Kluyveromyces lactis: one gene and its partners. The protein of the gene in region 4 interacts with the protein of the main gene of each other region in a biochemical or structural test. Links are inferred from orthologs where the notes say so. Each region holds a gene or a part of one and is shown on either strand. Other genes may lie near its edges.

Region 1 (2,388 bases), about 220 kb from region 4:
GATCTTTTGAATCGAGGTAAAGATGACGATATCAATGAACGATCAGTCAAGATATTATATACCAATGGGTTATTATCTGATAATTTGGACCCTGCTAAAATAGTGGTAATTAGCCCAGTAGACGAATGTGGTAGAACTGATAGCGTTTTATTCATGATTTCAAGGTCTTCCATATGACATTTCAGTTGATCGCTGTTACTAAGAATCTTATCCTGATTCAAAAATAATTGTAGAGATTCTACCAAATTCTTCTCAGTATTATCCACTTGAATAGATTCTAGTTTCTCCAATTGATTTTGATAACTGTTTCTCAATTCTCGATATTCTTGTGACAAATTTACAAAGACATGGCTGTTTGTATGTCTTTCCACAGACGGCAATCCACCATACTTGCTGATAAGGAACACCTTGTCGATATTTATGGGCAAGTTACTCACTAGAGATGATAAGAATCGAGATGGATCGCCAGCCAATTTCTTAAAAGCTTCCTTCTCATGGTACTGATATGGCTCAATAATCGGAATAATATGCGGGTTCAAAATCGGAAGTTTTACGTCAATTGAGCCACGTTCACCGATGGTAATGGGATCTAATACGATTATTGACTTCAGACTCTGATCATGCAAATGATTGTCCAAACGCTGACTTTGGTATGATATGTCTTGGCATAGCGGGTCTACTATTAAAATTGGTCTTAGTCCGAGTGTTTGAATTCTTGACACAGTCTTGCTAAACCCACTAAGTACGTTATCTGAATATTCGGACAAATGTCTCAAAAATACAAGACAGTAGTGATGATTATTCTCATCGGTATATTTGTTCAAATAGTCTTTCGCTTCCCTTTTAGTCACTGTAGAATTCAAAACGCTCATAACCAAACTCCTGCCATGAGCATTAGGTTGATGGTATCTGACCTCTGTGGTCAAACACCTAATCCATGTTTTGATCATAGCACTAGCCCACAAAATGTGCCTTTGGACGTTATATGATGAGATCAAACCATTTATCTGCAAATATGGAAAGTGTATAAAACCATCATTTATTCTAGTTTTATCAATGAGTCAAGTCATCAGAGAAAACTGCCAGTTTAAAGCTTTAGTTAGTCTTTCCTGTTTTTGTTTTTCCTGTGCTGGATTTCAATGTCAAGATTGAACATGGAAAAATAATTGAAGCACAGATATCGATTGGTCATAGTCGCGCATTGAAAGCACTATGTAAGGAAGTAGTGAGCTTGAGGACACTATAGATTAGCAACTCCAACCTGAAATAGAGATGGCACTACCGAGAGATCTATCAATAGGATTTTCTCCCCAAGAGATACAGTTTTTAATTGAAAATGAACCGACACGAATTATGCCCAGAATCACTACGAGGAAGACCAAAAAACAGCTCGCGAAGGATCCTGGCGCCCAATGGTCACTGATCACATGCGATGATTCTACGGTAAATAACATGGTTGCAATGAATAGTTGCGAAGTCACGTTATGGCTGGCTTTACTGTTAAAACAACAGGGAAAGTGTAACGTCGTGGTACCCAGTTGGCTGACGTTACAACAGCTGGAGAAGTATTTAGATTTTGAATTGAAAAACCCATCACGATTCTCCAATCTACCCTGGAATTGGCTAGTGGTATCGTCACTGCTGTTTGCCAGATGCAGCGATGATTTTCAGGATCCAGTTCATCTACTGAGATCTAAGGTCCAAGATCTGCGAGAAGTTCGTTTGGGAAAAGTCAACAAGGGTTTGCAGTACCTGAACGAATCGCATTTACAGCTAGAGAACTTGTCCTTGATGGAAATCAATGAGATGAGACCCTATGCGTGTGGTATCATGGACAAACTGAGGACAATTCATGACTCCAGTAATGACACCACGTGATCAATAATATAATAACCTTTTCCCATTGAATCCAAAATTCCATTCACGAGGTTTCCACCAGTCCCTCCCCTTAATCCAACCTACATGGTTATATGATAACACAGTTGACCATAATCACTAGAAAAGGTCGGGTTACCATGTAAGTACAGGCCTATCAAATAACACATATATTACATACCCTACATGTACCCGCTTCACAGTTTGTAGTAATTCGAAACAACTGATCCATCCCGAACATTCACGCACTGCTTAGTTCTTATTTACGTTTGTGTCGCAAACATGCCTCGCGGGCATGCCTTGCGTGTGCACCCCACGTTCTTGCTTCATCATATTTGTTGTTCTTCAGGCTATTTCGGTTCCTTGCATTGAACTACGGGTATAACTTACAGAAAACGACACAAGGGGGGAACACAAACACGGAAACGAATCACGTTTCTTCAATATTACGTTGGGAAAAGAATTTACCGTAGATAGAAAACAATAACAGTAGAAATTGAGCAGGATGAACTC
Region 2 (3,446 bases), on a different chromosome or scaffold from region 4:
ATGTATTTAATTCTTAGTTTCTAATGATCTTAATTTCTTACGCTTCAAAAACCAAGTCGGTCGTTAGTACCATACAGCGTTGCACGAAATGGTTCTGTCAGGCCGTCGACAATACTTTTATTTTGTCTTGTTCAATCTATTTGTAGATTTATACATTATATTACACTTTGATTCAGAAGAAGTTTCATCAAACCCTAACAACTTCCTTTTGCGAGCCTAATGAAAGCGTGATCTACCTTTCATCATTTGAAAGATTAAGCATGCGTTTTTAGCTGGGCGAGAGACAAATGGCAGCGATTAAAGCCGAACATTTATCTTCTTGTCAGTTTTTTGCTCTAAGCGATGTAATAACTGCTAAGAAGATCTATAATATTTTGTTTGATGCGTATCGAAATCAAAGTAAATTTCAAAAATACACAATCTCTAGTTCTCTCTCCATTTATGACCACAGTTAACACATTTGTAGAAAGTTGTCATAGGTTCATCTGCAGATCTGATTTGCAACTGGAAGAAGTAAGCTCTTTCACCCGCACATTGGTCATGGTTCGGACATTGTGCTGCTGTCTGGTCAACATTATCCCATGCACCTTCTCCACCTAAGACATCATCAACTTCTTTCCTAGGGAGGTTCTTTCTATCGTATACCTCTATCCCATCAATTAAAAACTGGTATGGGCATGATCCGCATGCTAGTTTATACAGACCTGAATCAGCTTTTGATACCAACAACATGTTATTGCATAATGGGCAAAACGAAAGCATCCTACAACTTAATTCTCAATGTCAGACTCCTCAAACACGATACGTTAACGCACCGTTACCTGCCCATAAGCTCCTTCAACACGTTATCGCATACACTCTAAAATGAACCTCATCGCTATAATTATTGAGAGTAGGTTTTAATTCTTTCCTCATCTCATATAGAAATTTTTCAGAAAAAAAAAAGTAGAGCTTCATGCCTTTAACTTTGAATCGATATTTATGTTGACATTTAAGGTTTGTATGTCAAATATAGTGTATAGGGTTAATACCTGTGGGCGAGGTTTGATAGAAGAACAACTCCCACATTTATAAGTTAGTTTCCATTCTCTAGACTTTAGAGTATTTGATTATCTTGGAGCGGTTAAACCTTGAAAACATGACGAAGAAAGAGTGCAGTGATAATGAGGAAGAAGAAGAAGACATTGATATTGTAAATCACCAAGACATTTTCATATCACCTTCCAAAGTAAGATATCAGTCACCGAAGAAACTTAAAAGTTTTGATTTTCTTTCGCCTTCCAAAACGGTACGACCTAAGTCACCCAAACGATCGCTCACATTAGAGTCTGTTAGCATTGAGACTGAATATAAAGATGAAGAGAGTAGGAAGCACTCATCGACAGATACTGCAACTCCCAGGCGAAGGCAAAGGAAAACAACCAAGAGGGTGAAGTTGGAGGAAGATGATGCCATTGACTATGTGTCAGATACTAATGAATTGATACACAATGACGACGAATACGAGGATCTAAAAATTAAAATAGATTCTAATGAAAGCTCACCTAATAAGTCGCCTAGGAGAAAACTTACATTTAATGCAGAACCATCACCCCAAAGAAAGACTACCAGAAATACAGTTCAAAGGAATAAAATTATAGACGATGATCTTGCATACGACGATATCCAGCAGTATAAGCATCTGAAATTGAACTTGAACCCTAATTTCAAACCGACTAAGTTGCCAAAGAGCGATAATAATGACCAAACATCTGATGAACAATCTCAAATATATTTTTTCGATGGTTTCGAAGGTTTCATAGATCAGACCAAGATCCTAAAAACTGATAAAAGATCCAAGAACTCGATGTCCTCGGCACCAAGTATTTCCAGAGATGAATATAACATTCTTTCTCAACTTTCCAATGATATATTCCATCGTTCATCGACAAAGGCAGTACAAAAAATACATGAAACACTCTTTCAGCAGTTTACTTTCGAGTTACTGCAGGGATTTACGTTATTATTCTATGGTATCGGATCGAAGAAGAAATTCCTCGAATCATTTGCATTCAACTTTCTTTCTATGAAGATCGCCTTGTTGCAAAACCCGGATATTCAAAAAGATGATCCATGTATACCGGTTTTTGTAATGAACGGGTACACCACTCTCTCTAAGAACATCTTTTTGGATATATTCAAAATCTTAGTAGAGGGCGAGACTATTGATGATCAAGGTCAATCAAATTATTGGGATAATCGAATTGACTTGCAAATGGACAGGCTTTCAAAATATTTCAAGAAAAGACCTCCTACGGTGAAGATGATTCTTTTGATACATAACTTGGACGGTCCGTCATTCCGGAGAGAACATTTTCAAACCAGAATGAGTATTCTTGCACAAATCAAACAAATCTGTGTCGTAGCAAGTGTCGACCATATACAAGCTCCTTTCCTTTGGGATCATTTCAGAGCTCAATCATTCAACTTTGTTTACCACGATATCACAAATTTTGAGCCGTACATCGTAGAAACAGTACAAACCGATAATGCTATCGACTTTTCCAAAGATTCAGGTACCTTGTTTAATGCGAACGGTGCTAAATACGTACTAGAATCCCTGACGGACAATTCTAAAAGAATGTACAAAATTCTTCTTCAACTTCTAATGGGACAGATTAATGCCAAGAACGAGTCAAAGCCTCGTGCAAAATCTAGTTCCTTAAACAAAATCACACCTGGGATTGAGTTCTCTGAACTTTTTAAAACATGCACCGAACAGTTCGTAGTCTCGAGCGAAATGGGTCTTCGAACCATCCTATCAGAGTTCATTGATCATAAGATGGCTGTCAATACGAAAAATAAAATGGGTAAAGAGATCATAAATGTTAAATATAGCTATGGAGACATGGAAAAAATGATAACTGAGATAGATTCCATGCTGCAATAAATAATCCTTATTTAAATTCACCATACATATTTATATTTATACTCTAGCGTTCTGATCTCATTTGGCTTTACCATACCGTCCACCAGGGTTCATTTCTTTTACATTTCCTATGCTGAATCAGTTCTGCTTCCGAAAATCACTGAAAAATAAGTTTTCGATAAAGATTACTATTTTAATGAACTTAAGGTTATATGGTTAAGAAGAAAAGGGAGAATTCGATAAAGAAGAGTATCGTATACACTAACAGCAAGTGTTGGAAGCACTGTTGGTAGTGGTATTTAATTCAGCAGTCCGCTAAATATTGTGATGAGCAAATCAGACACTATATCCAGACCGAATTCGGTGGCACATACTGCGGCGACCTCTGCTATGATTCCGAATTCGCATCTGTTGAGTCCCAACACTCAGGTTGTTGTTGGCACTCATAGGTGTGAAATTTTGGAGCATTTAGCTGAGGGTGGGTTCGCAAATATATACAAGGTAAAATTCTTGGAATTGACTAACGAGATGGATGCTG
Region 3 (2,799 bases), on a different chromosome or scaffold from region 4:
ATAGGTGTTGGTAATACTTGTTATCTTTTTTAGTCTGTTCAGTAGAATATGATAAGTCCGTCCTTGGGATAGGAATAATTTTGACATCGTCATCCTCTTTTAATGATAAATCTAAGGTTGATATCAGCTTAAGTTGGCCATTGGTGCTGGCCGCCAGGATGCTATGGTCATTGAATTTTGGAATTATAATTGAAAGTACCGGATAGTGATGATAATTAGTGGAAACAATATTTCTTTCCACCTGAAAGCTATTATTTATTTTGACTGTTCGCAGTTCATATAAGATGAGTTTTCCTGTATAGCAAGAAAGAACGACGGAGGTAATCTTAGAATTAGGATTATCAATAAACTTGCTCCGTACAACATTCTGACCTTGGAATAAAACTGTATCAAGTACCTCACCAGAAGAGACGTGTGTGATTTGAACTAAAGAGCTTTTCACGTATTTGGTTACAAGATGAATCACAGTAACCAGTAAATTATCTAAGACGTCACTGGAAATGACCCTTGCTTCAGAAGTTGAATCAATGGCAACTTTTGGTGAAATTGATAAATACATGCTTATTTTCCCATCACCAGCGATTTGATGAGAAGATGACTTGAGCGCAGCCGCTTCTATAGTCTCCTGTAGTGAAAATGTTTCTTTCTTCAACGTTGCGTAGTCTTCCGCTGAAACGACATTTCCGAAATCAAACACATCCTTTTCAACAACTTCTTTATCCTCCTTGGTCTCTGTAATATCTGAAGTCGATGCTTGCTGTTCTATAAGATCTTGGGAAGGTAGATGTCCATCTTCCATAATTTCATGTTTCCCGTCATATTCATCTGTCTGTATTCCGATATCATATGTTATCACAGCCTCCTTAACAGCGCTCAATTCAAACTCATTTACATCATCTGTTTGCACTGAGATCTCAACAGTTTTTACTTCTTTCTTGACTTCAGATTCGTTGTTATTTATGGAATTGGTGATATGGGAAATGAACGGAAGGGTACAATCTGCTATCTCTTCATGTTTCGAATCAATTTTTTTCCTTTGCAGCTGAAGAGCCTCTATTTTCTGCTTCATCAACTGTAAGCGCTCATTCTTGTCCATATTTCTGGGTATATTCCCCCTGAGGTTGGTGTTGCTGATGAGCGCTTCTTCACTGACGCGTTTTATCTTGCTTCATGTATGGATTTGTTAAGCGTAAACAAAAGATGATAAATAAGATTTGAGTATTATCAAAAATACGATGTTACAGTAAGTTGGATGAATTTCACAATAGGTTGGAGGATAACACATTGCAAGTAAGTCCTTCTTGTCTGAATACACCTTTACAGCAATTATAAAAGCCACCCCGGTGTACTATCCGAACACTTCCTCCGCTTTGAGTCCTGGTGGTAGGATCATATTTCTTTAGTACAATGAGCATTGATATTGACGACATTCTAGCTGAGCTGGATAGGGACACTACAGCTGTTGAACAAAATGCTTCTTCATACCCAGACCAAAGCGATCGAACTCAAGGCAATGATGTCTCTCAGATAAGACCAGCAGATAAGGCGGTTGACCCTGTGGCTCCCACACAGTTTAACAAAATTGACGACTATCAAAAGCTAATTACACATTGGAAGAATGAACGTATGAGTCCGGAGCTGCTTCCATATCCACATCATCTCATGACTAGGACATTAATAAGGATTCAAGAAAGAATTGAACTAATAGAAACACTATCAATGGGATACTTAGAAGATAATCAAGAGTTAACTGTCGATTCAAAGCTACCACTTTTATGCATGGAAGCAGAACTTGAGAGATTGAAGTTCCTAGTTCGATCTTTCATCAGATGCCGGTTAAGCAAAATTGACAAATACAGCATTTACCTAAGACAACAATCCGAACTACCCAATAATGCGGGCCTCAGCAGACTAGATTTATTGATGTCCAAAGAAGAGGTGAAGTACCATATGAAGCATTCTGACATATTACTAAAACTGTTTAACAACGCAGTACTTAAGCACTTACCAGAAGAACTGCAAGCCGTTAACGATACTGAGGGTTCCATCAGTATGATTGATGAACCCGATTGGAATAAAACTGTATTTATACTAGTTTGTGGTGGGGTAGTTGACGAAAGTGGTATTGATTCGAAATTAACGACCGATGATGATGGAAAACACTGTTACTCAGTGATTATTGAAGATTTAAATGAAGAAATTTACTTATTAATCGGGGCAGTATACGTAATACGTTATAGTGTAATACGAGATCTCATGACTGAGGGACGAGTAGTTTTAATATAATGAAAATTCTGAACAGTATTACTGAACCTATGACTCTTCGAAAAATATAGGTTTGTAACGAATGTTTGCCAGCAATAATTTCTCAACAATGTTATTGCGAACACAGCATGTTTTCTACCTAGTGTTATTGACTGCTGGTCTATAGTGCTTTTGAACCAATTTGTATTAGTATTACATCAATTAACGTTGAAAAGTCTATCTAGCATACTCAAAGTGTACCTATTTTTCATATTTACTGTATGCAAAACCCATCCGGCAAGCATATGATCAGCTCAGAGAAATCCTTCAATATCTGGTTTCTGGGCTTGGGCAAGCTTAGCCCTTTTGGTTGTCTGCGGTTGAGATTGAGATAACGACACTGAATGTATTCTTTTCAATCCTGTAGTCGAGTTCATCTCAACGACAGAATCTAATTCCTCGATATTTTGCGAGTTGGCATCTATGTTACTGGAAGAGGACTGGTTTATATTAGATTTGGCATGTTGTGATGATCTAGACTTCATAAATTCCATA
Region 4 (4,206 bases):
TGCCGTGGAGGCACCCCCATGGTAAAACTGTTGGGAATATTCACAAGTACAAACAAACATACATACTTACTTACCATAAACTCTCACAGAGGAACCCGGAAATACGACTGGAGATGCAGCTGGAATGGGGGTTTTTCTTTGAGAGCTAGTTCTAGCCATGGCAATGACTGAATGCTCGATACTGACGTTTCAGTGCTGGATTCATCTTACTGGAATGGCTAATAATAAAGCATGGGGTGGCAAGAGCGAGGGATATCTACATGTAAGGCGTGTATGAGCGCGATTACTTTCTAGACGTGCGCCTATTTTTTTTCTTGTTTTTCTTTTTTTCTAATTTGCTTTTTCCCCATAGTGTAGTTAACATTAAATCGTATGATATTCTGCAGGCTGTTCGCACAAGCTCAACACGGGGTTAATAAGGGCGCTAAGCCGGGTGAGTCTAGTGCTGAATCAGATCAGGAACACACTGGGAGAGAGAGAGGGAGCTGATGATGCGCGGACAAATGAATAACAGACTTGAAATTTTTTACCTAATGCTCAATCAATGATTTCCTAATCCCAAAATCAAAGAAAAATTTTCTGACTAGAATGCTTCCATAATTTTTCAATGATTTTGGCGGCTTGAATTGTGATGAATGCATTCAACATTTTTTGCAGTGCGGTTGAAAGCACAGGCAAAGTGATTCGTCTGTAGTAATTCTAAGAACATTCTTGTGACATTTACTCTCCACCTTTATATTGTTGTAACAGCTGTTGGTCTGGTGACCGATCATGAGGTTTTTCCTAGCCGTTTCACTCAGTTCAAGTCGTAGAAAAATTTAGTCGGGATTCAGTCTCCTCTTGCCCCTCTTCACCAATATGGCTGAATACCGGATTTTTTGCATCTTTCATTTTTGACCGATTAAAGAACGGCTTGAAAAATCAGTACGCTTGATTTTGCTAGATAGCTAAGTTATCCTGGCTTGGCCTTTTGCCGCTTTTGGTAAGGTGGCAGGAATTTTTCATTACATTTCAGCGGTTATTCTGTGTAGCGAAGTTTCTCCGATTTCTAAGATCAGAACAAACCACGAAAGCAATGCACCCTTATTGACTTTCCTTATTCGGTGCAGTTGGTTGTTCGAGCAACGCGTCGTCACCTAAATTGAATCCCTCAAGGCAAAAAGAAAACCGCATTTTAACCTTCCGGGTCACGTGTTGAGAAGTGTTGTTTCATATTTATTTTTCTTTCGGTTCGATCAATTACTTTTCCGTATTAGGTTAAGCGAAGATCAAGCTTTTTTTTTTTTTGATTTGGAATTTTATTCTGTTTTGAATATCCGGATTCAATCGCGACTTAAATTACAACAAACATCATACATCTTAAAGAGTATCCGTATTACATGTCTGTGTTTCTAAGTAAACTGCTGAGATAGGTATTATACAATTTCAAGGGCAACAAGTCAATTGAAGACAGGCCATGTCGTTTGATAAACCAGAGATCCATACCACTAGAGTGTTGGCAGGTGAAGAACTGTCTTCCAATGAAAATTCAGAGATTATCAAATCTTTTAAGAGTTTCATACTGGAATTCAGACTAGATTCCAACTTCGTTTACAGAGAACAACTGAGAAATAACCTGTTGGTTCATAAATACTTCCTTGACGTGAATACGGAGCATCTTATTGGATATAATGAAGATCTATACAAAAAATTACAGGATGAACCGATAGATATTATCCCGTTGTTCGAACAAGCAATAACTCAAGTGGCAAAGAGAATTGTTTTGTTATCGCAAGATTCTGATATTGATCCAGAGACAGCGTTGTCGAACTTCCCACTATGTCAGCTCATTTTAAATTCCAGTTCTATGGAAATTCCATTAAGAAGTTTGGATTCGGATCACGTTTCTAAGATCGTCAGAATTACAGGGATCATCATCTCATCCAGTGTCTTGACATCAAGAGCCACTCAGTTATCGCTAATGTGTAGAAGCTGTAAACATATGACAACTTTGAAGTTGAACAATTTCCAGAATTTGAATAACAATAACGTCCAGTTACCTCGTGAGTGTCTTGCAGATCGTTCCAACGAAACAGATGAAACAGCAGCTTCTTGTGGCCCTGACCCATATTTAATCGTACACGAATCGTCACAGTTTATTGACCAACAGTTTTTGAAACTACAAGAATTACCGGAATCCGTGCCAATTGGTGAATTGCCTAGAAATTTACTAATGACATGTGATAGATATTTGACCAACCAAGTTGTTCCAGGAACAAGAGTTACCATTATTGGTATTTATTCCATCTACCAATCCAAGAATAAGAGTATTAATAGTTCTGGAAATAAAGCTGTGGCGATCAGAAACCCTTACGTGAAAGTTATCGGGATCAAACACCTATCAAATAATCCGTTAAACAATTCTCTATCTATGTTTTCGGAAAGTGAAGAACAAGAATTTTTGGAGCTTTCCCAACGACCAGATCTATATGAACTTTTCGCCAACTCAATTGCTCCCAGTATCTATGGTAACACTGATATCAAGAAAGCCATCGTTTGTCTCCTTATGGGCGGATCGAAGAAATTGTTACCAGATGGTATGAGACTAAGAGGTGATATCAACGTGCTACTGCTTGGTGATCCTGGTACTGCAAAATCCCAACTGTTGAAATTTGTGGAAAAAGTTTCTCCGATTTCGGTATATACATCTGGTAAAGGTTCTTCTGCAGCTGGTTTGACGGCAAGTGTCCAAAGAGATCCAACTACACGGGAATTTTACCTAGAAGGAGGTGCAATGGTGCTTGCTGATGGTGGTGTTGTCTGTATTGACGAATTTGACAAGATGAGAGACGAGGACCGTGTTGCCATCCATGAAGCCATGGAACAACAAACTATTTCCATTGCTAAAGCCGGTATCACTACCGTTTTGAATTCTAGAACTAGTGTCTTAGCTGCAGCAAACCCTGTTTACGGTAGATATGATGATTTGAAATCACCGGGTGAAAACATTGATTTCCAAACTACCATCTTGTCCAGATTCGATATGATCTTCATTGTTAAAGATGATCACAATGAAGCTAGAGATATCCAAATTGCGAACCACGTCATGAACATTCACACAGGAAGAACTCAACAAAACGATCCAAATGATAATTCCAACTCCAACAACGAAATTCCAATAGAAACTATGAAGAGATATGTTAGTTACTGTAGGTTAAAATGTGCCCCCAGGTTATCTCCTGAAGCAGCCACAAAATTATCTTCTCATTTCATCACTATTAGAAAACAATTACAAGAGTCCGAAAGACATTCCAATGAGAGGTCTTCCATTCCAATCACAGTTCGTCAATTAGAAGCCATAATTCGTATCACAGAATCTTTAGCTAAATTAGAACTGAATCCAGTAGCGACCGAAAAACATGTTGATGAAGCCATTAGATTATTCCAAGCTTCTACGATGGATGCTGCCTCTCAGGATCCTATCAACTCCCAGGAAAATGATACAACAATGCTCTCACAAATTAGAAGAATCGAATCTGAATTGAAAAGAAGGTTGCCAATAGGATGGTCTACAAGTTACAAAACTTTGCAAAGGGAATTCGTTGTGAACAAGAAACTTCCCCAATATGCGCTAGATAAGGCGTTATACCTGTTAGAAAGACATGATTCTATTCAACTAAGACATCAAGGTCAGAATATTTATAGAAGTGGAGTATGAAGTTGCAAATGAAATTCAGGAACCCCTCCTTGAACATTGTCTATAACTCATATGTACCACTGTGTATAAGGAATTTCAGCGACTATGTGTTGATATTTATATAGTGTAAGATTACCCGGATAATGATAATGATAATTGGATAATCCGAAAGAAAACAACTGGATGGTATATTGGGTTTGATGCACAGGATGAGATGATGAGATGACCAAAGAAGGAACCTCTCATATCATATGGCAATCAGGACAAGTTATCACAAACTTACGAGATTGCAAATATCATAAGCCAAGGACTTATCTTCAGGATTTGTCTGTTACATATACTAGAAAATTGACCTAAAACACGATGGCCGATACATATATTCCAAAGACAGACCTTTCAAGGTCTGAACTATCTAGAGACGAGCTAACACAACTAGAAGAATTCGAAATGAAATATGGACCCATGTCTCTAATCAGGGAATCAATGCTACAGAGGACACCTGTTATAATATCACTAAGGAACAATCATAA
Region 5 (3,826 bases), on a different chromosome or scaffold from region 4:
GATGAGTACCAGAAAATGGGCATTGAAAGGTTTAGAGTTGCTAGCCAGCGAATTTTAAGAGAATACAAGCTCGAATCTCGCGTCTCTATTCCCGATATTCTGGAAGGATCTTTTAGTTATTTTGCGTTAATAAATACCACAAATCTGGAGCCAACTTATATGCCATCTCCCGATTCTGATCCATTGGAATCACAACTACATGTATTGGCATACCAGTCTTCTCTGGATAGAGTAGAATTCCAGAAAAGGGTATTTATGGGTTATTCAAATACGAAGCATTCAAACATCTTACAGAATGGAACGTTTTACAGACCACTGCCATTTTGTTTTAACGTCGAAGTACTAGACGATCCGTCACAAAAGAGCAACTTTGAAGTTTGCTGTGATGGGCAACTTCTTAACTTACTAGAGTTAGAGGGAAAGAATACTCCACCATCCACGATAAGAATTGAGACTTGTACGGAGCCATCATTAAAAGTACTACATTCTTTATAATATATTAAACCTTACATTATTGTCTATATAATTTCCAAATCATCACTTGAGCCTTCATCTTTATCGAGCCGCTCTTGGCTGCCTTTCATTATTTCATTGAAGATAGCGTTTCTCTTTTCAATTTTCTCTTTCAATTGTTTCTTCGAAGGTTTCAGGCTAACATTATCTTTCTTTATATTGCAAATATCCGTTATCGCCAGCTGTTTATCATTCTTTGGCGCCTTATTCTCTGTAGAATATTCAAGCATCTCTAAAGACGCTTTCCCTTTTGTTGGGTCATAACCAATTTGGTTCGCTAAACCATGTTGGAACATGCTCAACGTCGCAGTCTTTTTTGCTTCTTGATTGACTCGGTCTTCCTTCTTTGACAACAATTTGTCGGATAGACCCTTTAACTTTTTCTCCAAGTTTCGATTGTTTCTGAGTTCTTGAATTTTGCGTCTTTTGTTATCAAGGTTGGCCAGTATGTCAGGATTTTCGTAGTCGTCATCGAAAAACGCGGTAGAGGCATTTGCAGAACTGAAGAGGAATCTGTTGGTCTCTGCAGCTGCCGGTTCTCGTACAAACGGTTTATCAGGATTTTGTTGATATCTTATGGATGTTTTACCATTATTGTGTTGTGATTTTACAATAGTCTGTTGATATCCTTTGACAACTGGCGCTCTCATTGCCACAGAGCTACTAATTTCAACTCTTCTAGAACTGTTTTGCCTCATTTTTGCCTCTTTATGATATGCACAGTAGTTATCATGCAATTTGTTTATTGGCGCACCACATAGCTTGCCTTTGTTCTTCATGTAAAATTGGCACAATCCGAATTCCTTACTGTGACCTAGTTCCAGTATATTATTGGTGTCTTTACTAACTTTTAACGAAAATGTAGCGTAACTAGGGCTTGCTCCCGCTTCCAGTTTCTTGGAAGGCATTATTTCAGGGTTAAGTATAGCAATCAAATCACCTAATCTTAGTTTGTAATACTTTTCAACTATACTTTTCCCAAAGAAAATAACATTCAGTTCAAATTGGAAATCACTTATGGTTAGGCTGAAGAATTTCACCGGTTTCACAGAATTTGTCATTCTTGGTTCAGTTTTCTTTGAGATGATACCCAATACCAACCAATTGGGATAATCAGGTTCAGAGAACTTAGGGGCTCTCACCTTACTGAAGAGCTTTGGAAGTCGAAGCACTTTTATGTTTTTAGTATGTTTCCTAAGTACGGCCAACGGTACATACCTTCTGTCTATAACCAGACCACTCAAATCATCTTTTTCATCAACAGTAATTGGTTCATATTCATCGAACATGTCGCCATTGAATGTGTAAACTCGATGTGCCAATAATTCTTTCTTCCTTTTAATCGCTTCATGTTCATTTGTATTGATGGAGCGAAGTTTTTCAGTAAAGTAAGAAGTGGTACCCAACTTTTTGACCTTTTCCCTTACATAATCCTCATTAACATTAAATGTAGCTTCCTCTATATCTGCTACTGGCGCAATATGTTTGATATCCTCTATTCCTTTTGTAGCATTATCTGATTTCTTAGGAGACTCTGGAACGTCGATAGAATCGAAATTAGGGTCTTTGAGGTTTCTCTTCTTCTCTAGTTCCAACAGCCGGTTAGTTAAATCTCGTTTCTCAGTGTCAATTTCAACAATTCTTCGTTTCACTTTGATTTAATGATTGGTTATAATATGTTAGTAGGATATTCTAATGTCATTGATCTCGGTAACCATTATTATTAGAACATACCTCTTTCGATTTCAGATTCATCATCAGATAATTCCTCGTACGGGTCGAACGCCGTAATTTCTCTCGGGTCAGTTAGATCATATGACATGATGCATCTTCACTGTTACCTATACTCGATAGCTTCTGTAACTATTCTCGTTCATTCTTTACTTGTGGGATGTCATTATTTTGTTTTCTCGTTTGAATATCTGTGGAAAGTAATACTAGTATTTTTTACATGTTGAAAACGAATGGTCAAATAATGATACATAATAGAAAAAAATTAAATAGAACTTCGGTAATATTAACAGCCATAAAATCGTCTGGAGAATCAGGCTTCCTGACCATCCTCAGTATCACTTTCAGGCTCTTTGTGACGTTTCTCAGGCTGTTCTGTTGCGGTGTCGTCTATGGGTCTCTTATTAGGAGAAATTTCTGACGTTGAGAAGGGACTAGTGAATGTTGAATGAGAGCCAAATACAGGGGCCTGGAATGCTGCACTCATATTAGAAGTGTCATTCTCTACAGGTTTAATTGTGGACTTTTGTTGTTCTAAATTCCTGATCTTGCTTTCCAAAAATTTCAATTTCAAGGAAACTTGCTGTTTCCCTTCTTCGAAAGATTTTTGTTTTATTTCTGCCAAATCTGCTTCAAATTGCTTACGCATGGAATCCTTAAGTGCATTCAATTCTGCACGATGCTTTTCTAGAGTAATGGCATCATTTCCGATCTCTCCTGCCAATTTTTGGGCCTTTTCGTTTACCTTTTCTTCAAAGGACTCTTCTAAAACAGCTTTTCTTGCCTCAACTATTTTATCAATCTTTTGTTGAGTAGGTAACCTGATCCGTTTCTTGAGGGCTTCTTCTGCTAATTTAATTTTTTCCAGAGTCTGCTTCTCATATTCTTTTTCCCATTCATTCTTCAAAGCATCGATGTCTATATCCAAGGTAGGCTGCGAAGGAGACTGGACAGTAGTCTTTTCGCACTCTTCACGAATTCTCTTTTCTCTTTCTTCAAACTGTTTCCGGAGCTCTTCCTCTCTGGAATTCCAAGCAGATTCTTTTTCTGCCTCAAACTTGCTCCTCAATTCTTTTTCTTTATCTTTTATTAATTGTTCTTTTTCAGCTTCAAATTCTGTTTTCAAATTATCCACTATTGACTTCGTGTCTTCGTTGATAACTGGCGTATGATGTTCAGCTACTATTTTTTGAGCGTTGGAGGCTTCGGCTTCAAGCTCCTGTATTTTACTATTTAACATTTCCACAGTCTCAGTCAACGATTTTATTTTTTCATCTGAATCTGCATTATTCTGTTCGGTCTTGGAAGCATTTTCCATTTGAACCTGAATAGAATGTAGATCTTCCTGCAATTTAGATAATTGAGAGTTAAAAGTCTGTTCCTTTGTTTCTGCTTCTTGCGTTACCACTTGTAATCTTTCTTCTAACTCTTTGCAAGCGGTCTTACATTTTCCTAAATCGGCCTCCACTTGAGATTTAGCTTCATTGATTTGGTTTATTTCTGATGATAAAGATTGTTCCTTTTCCTTGGAGGCATTCAATCTATCACGTGCTTGAAGCCTAATTCTTTGGAACTTCGATTC

What was found.
Region 1: the proteins of MCM5 (region 4) and PSF2 form a complex in vitro, tested with the Saccharomyces cerevisiae proteins (2 studies listed by BioGRID). The link is inferred for Kluyveromyces lactis from reciprocal best matches to the Saccharomyces cerevisiae genes MCM5 and PSF2.
Region 2: the proteins of MCM5 (region 4) and ORC2 form a complex in vitro, tested with the Saccharomyces cerevisiae proteins (2 studies listed by BioGRID). The link is inferred for Kluyveromyces lactis from reciprocal best matches to the Saccharomyces cerevisiae genes MCM5 and ORC2.
Region 3: the proteins of MCM5 (region 4) and SLD5 form a complex in vitro, tested with the Saccharomyces cerevisiae proteins (3 studies listed by BioGRID). The link is inferred for Kluyveromyces lactis from reciprocal best matches to the Saccharomyces cerevisiae genes MCM5 and SLD5.
Region 5: the proteins of MCM5 (region 4) and MCM10 form a complex in vitro, tested with the Saccharomyces cerevisiae proteins (3 studies listed by BioGRID). The link is inferred for Kluyveromyces lactis from reciprocal best matches to the Saccharomyces cerevisiae genes MCM5 and MCM10.

What each region holds. Positions count from the first base shown.
Region 1 is NC_006040.1:558,088-560,475, reverse strand, and holds PSF2 (DNA replication protein PSF2), read left to right. Parts: upstream 1-1,272; coding exon 1,273-1,878; downstream 1,879-2,388. Other genes in the region: ARG2 (acetyl-CoA:L-glutamate N-acetyltransferase), read right to left, coding at 1-950. UniProt on the Saccharomyces cerevisiae protein: Functions as part of the GINS complex which plays an essential role in the initiation of DNA replication by binding to DNA replication origins and facilitating the assembly of the DNA replication machinery.
Region 2 is NC_006042.1:1,707,896-1,711,341, forward strand, and holds ORC2 (origin recognition complex subunit 2), read left to right. Parts: upstream 1-1,138; coding exon 1,139-2,929; downstream 2,930-3,446. Other genes in the region: DNA-directed RNA polymerase III core subunit RPC11, read right to left, coding at 424-762; serine/threonine protein kinase AKL1, read left to right, coding at 3,236-3,446. UniProt on the Saccharomyces cerevisiae protein: Component of the origin recognition complex (ORC) that binds origins of replication. It has a role in both chromosomal replication and mating type transcriptional silencing. Binds to the ARS consensus sequence (ACS) of origins of replication.
Region 3 is NC_006042.1:1,023,571-1,026,369, forward strand, and holds SLD5 (DNA replication protein SLD5), read left to right. Parts: upstream 1-1,407; coding exon 1,408-2,286; downstream 2,287-2,799. Other genes in the region: PAC11 (dynein intermediate chain), read right to left, coding at 1-1,096; serine/threonine/tyrosine protein kinase RAD53, read right to left, coding at 2,559-2,799. UniProt on the Saccharomyces cerevisiae protein: Required for DNA replication. Functions as part of the GINS complex which plays an essential role in the initiation of DNA replication by binding to DNA replication origins and facilitating the assembly of the DNA replication machinery.
Region 4 is NC_006040.1:778,817-783,022, forward strand, and holds MCM5 (MCM DNA helicase complex subunit MCM5), read left to right. Parts: upstream 1-1,456; coding exon 1,457-3,697; downstream 3,698-4,206. Other genes in the region: mRNA splicing protein SMD2, read left to right, coding at 4,040-4,206. UniProt on the Saccharomyces cerevisiae protein: Acts as a component of the MCM2-7 complex (MCM complex) which is the putative replicative helicase essential for 'once per cell cycle' DNA replication initiation and elongation in eukaryotic cells.
Region 5 is NC_006037.1:50,747-54,572, forward strand, and holds MCM10 (Mcm10p), read right to left. Parts: upstream 2,336-3,826; coding exon 2,248-2,335; intron 2,165-2,247; coding exon 519-2,164; downstream 1-518. Other genes in the region: KLLA0_A00550g (uncharacterized protein), read left to right, coding at 1-495; MLP2 (Mlp2p), read right to left, coding at 2,558-3,826. UniProt on the Saccharomyces cerevisiae protein: Required for DNA synthesis. Required for entry into or completion of S phase. Involved in DNA replication and seems to participate in the activation of the pre-replication complex (pre-RC) and in transcription elongation.